Oryzias latipes: one gene and its partner. The protein of the gene in region 2 purifies or fractionates together with the protein of the main gene of each other region. This does not show direct contact. Links are inferred from orthologs where the notes say so. Each region holds a gene or a part of one and is shown on either strand. Other genes may lie near its edges.

What was found. Proteins that work in one complex are often made in the same cells at the same time.
Region 1: the proteins of snx8 (region 2) and fbxw7 purify together in Homo sapiens (affinity purification with mass spectrometry; 3 studies listed by BioGRID and IntAct, counting the BioPlex papers as one, with this or other methods). This does not show direct contact. The link is inferred for Oryzias latipes from reciprocal best matches to the Homo sapiens genes SNX8 and FBXW7.

What each region holds. Positions count from the first base shown.
Region 1 is NC_019859.2:19,407,869-19,411,368, forward strand, and holds part of fbxw7 (F-box/WD repeat-containing protein 7), read right to left. Parts: intron 3,166-3,500; coding exon 3,042-3,165; intron 2,908-3,041; coding exon 2,771-2,907; intron 1,845-2,770; coding exon 1,731-1,844; intron 1-1,730. UniProt on the Homo sapiens protein: Substrate recognition component of a SCF (SKP1-CUL1-F-box protein) E3 ubiquitin-protein ligase complex which mediates the ubiquitination and subsequent proteasomal degradation of target proteins.
Region 2 is NC_019866.2:7,037,224-7,040,723, forward strand, and holds the end of snx8 (sorting nexin-8), read left to right. Parts: intron 1-220; coding exon 221-370; intron 371-2,178; coding exon 2,179-2,328; intron 2,329-2,651; coding exon 2,652-2,732; 3' UTR 2,733-3,195; downstream 3,196-3,500. UniProt on the Homo sapiens protein: May be involved in several stages of intracellular trafficking. May play a role in intracellular protein transport from early endosomes to the trans-Golgi network.

The sequences.
Region 1 (3,500 bases), on a different chromosome or scaffold from region 2:
ATTCTTTCGATCCATTAAACACTTCAAGCTGCCATAAGATTGTTTGGCCACATCTAAGGTAACCATTTATTGCAAATTTGCTGTCTTTTGCGATATGCATATTGCACAGCTTGATATTGCGATAACGATAAATTTGCGGTATATTGTGCAGGCCTAAACCAGGTCAAACTTTGACTAATCAGGGACTTGGATTTGATGGTGACGTATGGATGGCGTCTCTTTTCATTAATTGAAGTGCCAACTGTTTGAAAATCGATTATGGAGGAGAAATTATCAGTTTCAGTTTGTGCTCGGATGGAATTCCAAAAGACCAAGTCTTTCATATTTTGGAATAGAGCTGTATTTCAAAATAGCCTGGATCAAGATTTGCACGATTTACACGCCGACATTTCCCACCAAGCTTCTTCCAAATGTAGGTGGCAGACATGCGCTAGTAAACAGCAATACAAGAACCACCATGGCCTAAACGCACGTTCATGCAAACACGGTGTGTCCACAGCCTCAGACCAAATTCTCACTTCTTTAATTAAATAAAAGAACAAAGCTCAGACTGTCCTTCTCCTATACTCCAAATGTAAACCCTAACTGCTTTTTGCAGGTGAAAGCTTGAGTTTTCACTTTACTTTTCTTGGGATCAACAGATACTTTGCCTTAATGCTTGACTTGACTTAATTGGCTGTTCCTCTCCAGTAAGGCTTCTCTCAAGTGTCGAGAGCTAAGGAAACAAAAGGCGTGTAATCCGCACAGAGGACGTGTGCTCTGAATAAAGCAGCCATGCAAACAGATGCGGGCTCATCCCTTCCTCATACCCAATGCAAACAAACCATTCTGGGAGATAAGCATTGTAAAACCCACATACAAAATGCTGTGTGTCTGTGACATCTGCCAGAGCACAGGTGGGTTATGGGCTAAAATAGGCCAAATCTGCATGTGATATGACTCACAGACTTCTGCCACCAATATGGAGCCAGTGTGGCTAAAGCTAATGTGTTTTTTGGCATCTGCTACCCATACTCCAGAGCAACTTTCAGTCTGAAAGCATGGTAATTGGGAGGAAGGGTGTTTAGTTCATATTATTATTCAATGAGCTTATTAGGAATTTCACATATTTATCCCCTTAAAAGTCCAGATGGGTAGAATTCTGAAGTGTGATTAGATCATTACAGTAATTAAGATTTTTCTATTAAAGAATGCCTGGTTATAGATCAATTTTTATGGCATACAAATTAGCACTACACAGTTTAAGTTATGCCTCCGCCTTTAAACGGATGATCTCTTATTTCCCTCCTTAAGGCCTCAAACCAAAGCTGAACTGAGAGCTCCCACTGTAATGCAGCTCTGAGGGGATGCTTGGTTTTTTCCATTTTATTTTGTGATTTGTTGCATTTAGGTTTTGATACTAGATGCTTTTCACTCTGTTATTTTTCAGTAAGGAAAAAAAAGACTTAATCAAAGTGGTTATTTTTCCTTAAAAACTACATTAATCTTTAAGACATGATTTGTGCAGAAGGATTTTATTTTTTATGTAATGTTATCTCAAGTAATTTAAAACTTGAAAACTGATTAAAAAAGGAAAGTTCGTTCACATCCTTTTTTTTTTTTTTTTTGCTTGGTTAAAAATGATGGAAAAGATCACAGAAGCCACAGAGCAGGAAAGTGAGTGCACCAGACAAAATGCTGAAAGAAAAGATAGTGAGATAAATAAATCAGAGAAAGGTTGTCAGGCTTACCTTTCCTGTAACAGCGGACCAGACTTTCAGCGTGTTGTCATCAGAGCCACTGACGATGCGGTTGCCGCAGAACTGAAGGCAGGTAATCACATGGTCATCGTGTCCTTTCAGCACCTTGAGATAAGGAAGACAAAAAGAGAGGTGAGAAAAATAGGATATTAGGAGAGGTGGATGAGGCATGGCAACGCAAATGACATGAGCAGATACAGCGATGAGTGTCTCACATCAAAGTGAAAATGAGGTAAATGTCTGCTGGTGTTGAAAGTGTAGCAATAGTGTCGTCCCCACTAACTGGTAGCAAGTGCTACTGCTAAATGAAAACAAACTAACTGCTAATTCAGGAAAAACAAACCCTTTTGGCCATTTCTTCCACCTAGCGTGGTTTAAGATTTAAGTCTTCAGTGCAGAAAAGTTTGACCCCGTTAAGGAAATGGGGTCAAACGGTTAGTGGTCAGTGTGAAAAATGATCCTAAAATGATGGTAATTAGATTCCTCCACACACACAAAAAAATAAAAATGTGATCTTCCAACAATAACAAAAGAACGTTGATACAGACGATCATTGTCAGAGTAGATTCTAAAAGACACTTAAATGCAGCTCTGTGAACAAACCTAACACATCTTCCAACCTGAACCCCTTCTGAAGGCATTTGGGCTCCTCAAAAAAGGACAACTATTACCACAAATTACTTAAATGAGACGCAAAATAAAACAGCTTTAATGAATGAAACATTTTGCCAAAAATATGCTGGCCATGCCTTTACGGATATTCCTTTTTGTGCTCATGTGAAGTAAAGATTTAAAAAAGAAGACACAAAAACAAAACCTTGCCCCGCTGGATTCTTTTTAAATCAGCATTGCCTGTGTATAAAGTTACTTTTCTTCCATCAGCTTTCCATTTCAAATACTTATATTAAGCATTTTGTGACTTTGTGATCTTCGTGTCAAAGATCCACTTAGCTGTGGGTAATTTCAAGTTTGCACAAAAGGTAATGTTGAGAAGATCCCTTCAGACAAAATAAAGAAATAAATGAGAGTACCTTTGGGGATTTGAGGTCTCCTCTCCTCCAGTTAGTGTCTATTCTGTGCTGCCTGATGTAGGCACTCTTCCAGGGGCTATGGGTAAAGCCAGCCTTGACATTTCCCCTTTTCTTTGGGGCCAGAGGCTCATCAATACCTGTGAAAAGCAAAACTGATTCGATTGACACAGTTTATTTTCCAATAAAAGAAGATTCTCTTTCCACTTTAAGCTTAACAAAGCATTTCAAAATTGGAGCTAAAATGGTTACAAAAGGCTTTAAAACAAATTACCCTCTTCTCTGCATTTTTCCCTCCACAGTAAGTTGTCTTCTGCTAGGATGCGCCAGTAGCGACACGTCTGTGCGGCCTGAAGGAGGTCTTTCGGTTCCAGGAATGACAGTACATACAAGGCAAGCTTTAGACAGACAGGAAACAGAGGGGGGTTATTGATAAAGTAGATCCATCTGCTGATGCACGTTTTAACTGTGCACATCACTGGAAAAAAATGACTTTAAGGAAAGTAATCAGATTAAAGTTGAAAAATCTATTAAAAAGAATTGCTGGTCCTGACTTGAATCCATACTTCTGTGTGGACAAAAGAAAATGTACCCATTTTTTCAATTAAACAGACACAAAAACCTGTTTCACAGACTTTTATGATCAACTTTTTTTGTACAACTTGGTATGTATATTATTTGCACACAAAAAATTCAAATTTTCCCAGATTGTAAAGCAGTGATTCCACTGTTG
Region 2 (3,500 bases):
AGGTGAATTTCTAATGAACTACTGCCGCTCTGCAGAAACTATGTCCTTGAAAATGACACAAAATGAAAATGGCTGAAAAGATGATTGGAGCGGGTATTTAAGGATGACGGACAGTTTTATATTAGAGAAATTCTCAACTAAAAAAACTTTTCAGCAAATAAAACTGCATCTGATCTATTTTATATATTTTTTTGTTATTATGTCATGTTTTTTTTTGTAGGATCTCTGTGAGCGACATGAAAAGGGCGTCCTCCATGAGCATCAAAGGGCTCTTCAGAAGTACGGCGTGATGAAGAGGCAGATGATGAGCGCCACTGTGCAGTCCAAGGAGCACGCCACAGTGGAACAGCTGGAATCACGAATCGTTCAGGTGAAATTTTCTCCAACTCTACCTTGTATAACCAGAGCTGTACTCATTTATTCTTCTATAAAGTAAAATATCCTGCTTTTTTCTTTCCTTTACTAACTAAAGACTAATTTTATAATTCTTGGTTTGACAACTTAGGGAAAAAAGTTGTTGATTTATTTATATAGGGGGTAGAAGGTCATTTTTGTTTATAACAATGTTGCTTAGTGCAGAAGCTTGGACCAAAAAGCGTTTTTATTTGATTTTTTTTTTTCACTGGTTCTTTTGTGAGAAAGGCCAAATAAATGTCTTTGTGGTGGATTTGAAGCTTTTTTTTTTCTTCTAAGAACAAAAATCCCCCAAACATTAAAAATGTGAAAACTCCCAAAACATAAAATGTTCTTTTTAGTTCCTTATAAATACTTTAAAGCAATAAAAAGGAGGTTATTTTAAAGAAACCAAAGCAGCCTTTTTGTGACCGCGTTAAAGCAAAGTCGCATTAAGAAAGTAATTAAGTTGCTGTTTGCTCCTGTACCCTCTGTGGTTTTTATCTTGGGGCCGCAGTTCCTTTTTATTTATTTTTTCACCGCGGTTTGGATGTGTTTGCCACACCGTCACAATTTCTGCATAGTTCCCCCTAACTGAGTTTGTACTTTTCTGACCAAACCAGCTTTAGCCTGAGGGCAGAAAATCCTACTGGATTCAAAAAGTAATATTAGAGCTGTTAATGTAGAAAACGAAGACAATAAGTTTTTATTTATTTATTTTTATTTGTGGAATTTTGTAAAATATGTCATGATCTGTTTTTAGTATTTTCTCTTCATTGAAGAGCTAAGATTAGATTAACATGTATATGTGCAACACTAAAATTATTGAAAAAAAATGACAAAATTGATCATATCACCTTAAAAAACATGATGCAAAAAAAAAAAAAAAAACAGACTGCAATTACTCTAAAAGAGTTTTGAAGGTTTGGATTTGGAAAAGGAAATATTAATTATACAGAACAACTAAATAAAATAAAGGAGGATACTAAAATAAGATTAATAGCTATAAAGAAATAGCCAAGGTGCTGTTTATTGGCAAGAAAGTCATGTAAAGTTGATCATTTGTAAGTGAAACTAATAAATGTAATGTAATAAAATTTAGAAAAATTATTTCTTTTAGAAATATTAAGTTTTTTTGCTACGGGTAAAAAAAATAGATTTTGTGTGATTTGCTAAATGTCAATGAGGCTGTCTCCTAGAAAACCTGCACAGAATAATAAAATAAATTAAAAAAAGGAAACATTTTGCAGGTTTGCTGCTCTCATGTTTTTAGTTGAATTGCCCATAGAGTAGGGGTGGAGCTATAACTGCCCCCCCTGTAAAAAGCTTTGCCCCCCCCCTCAATTTCTGAGTCAATATTAATATTATTATTGAGATAGATTAAGAAACGACCAATAGAAGCTTCTTTAAGTATTACAAGAATAACAAAAGCAATACTTTTGAATGAAAGAATTACATTAACAAATATAAAACTGTTTGAAATACGTGTTTTTGATCCTTTCATTTCATTCTGCCCCCCATCTTGCCCCACATATAAAATGTTCTGGCTCCACCACTGGATGGAGGTGAAAGAAAATCTCAACTTTTATAGTTTTTTTTTTTACAACAGAATTGATTAACAGGATTTTTGTGTCTTCTTTTGATAACATCCTCTTATCAGTCCTGTGTTTCTAACAAGCAGGATTAGCAACGGATTTCCCTTCTATTAGCATTTTATTCCTGATAATTTCTGTCATTTAATTAGTGCCAACCTTTTTTTTTTTTTTTTTAATGTTCTGATAATAGCAAGAAAGTGCCATTCAAACCATGGAGCTGCGCAACTACTTCTCCCTGTTCTGCCTTCATCAAGAGACGCAGCTTATCTTCACTTGCCTTCCAATTACTTCCCACATTCTCGGGGCTTTTGTTAGCTCACAGGTCCAAGGACACAAAGAGGTAAGGAGGCAGTCTGGGAATTCTTTTTATCCAGTTACTCACCTATAGTTTTACCCAGCAGCACTGCATGCAGGGACAGTCAGATCATCCATAACCTGACTTTAAAAAATGTTTTTAAAAAAAATGAGGGTTTGTGCAAATAAAATATTTTTTTGTTGAATTTGTTAAAAATATATGCTGAAATTGAGAAAATAAGAAAAATAAATAGACAGAGTGGTTTTGAAAGTTGCTTTTTGAAATATTAAATTTGTGGACCAAGTTGCAATATTTCATTGTTAACGATCTAAAGGGGAAGTGTAAATAGACATTTCTTTTTTTTACAGATGGGAGAAGTCTGGAATGAACTCCAGCCCAAACTGGGGTCTCTCTTTGCCAGTAAAAATGGACTGAAATCTTCCATCTGAAACCTTCATCATGCTGTGATGACTAGAAACACTCCCACATACGTGTAACGCACTTCATCAATTCCACTTTTCACTGAAGATCATCATTGGAGTCCTTTGGGCACTAATTTCCCACATTTCCTGCAAGAGTCACAAGTATTTCATCATGCGCTCTGGAATGAGATCAACAATTCAGAGTTTGTGACCATCAGCAGGCCAACAGGGATCCCCAACGCGGCATTTATACAACATTTTTATGAAGTACTTGATTGTGAATCTGAGTTTGATACACTAAAAGGATTAAGAAGACGAACACTGCAAAAATTGAGTTATTCACCTGTTTTCTTTATGCTTGTTGACTAACTTCAGAGTAATATAAAGGATTTTTGCTTCTAAAGTTATGTAGATGTTTCTTTTTTTGTGTTAGCTATTTTTTAATCTCACTGTGGAATATGTGAACTGCATAAATCTGCAAATGTTTTTTTTTTTTTTTAACTAAAACTACATTTATTATTCCAGTCATTTATTTGTGAAGAACAAAAAAAATGTATTTAGGTGAGTGGCAGAGGACTCAAACCAATTCTTTATCTTCTATATTTTGGCATGTCATCATAGCCTCGGGAAGCTGGATGACTGTAAAAGAGGATTCCACAAAGTTATAGAGGACAAGAAATGGCAACCTACAAAAAAATCTGCTGCTCCAGAAGCTAAGGCATGTTTTATATGTGAACATGGCAGGGAAAGTATTATGATGTGTTTTTTTGTGTCTCCTGACATAATTTGTTAAAG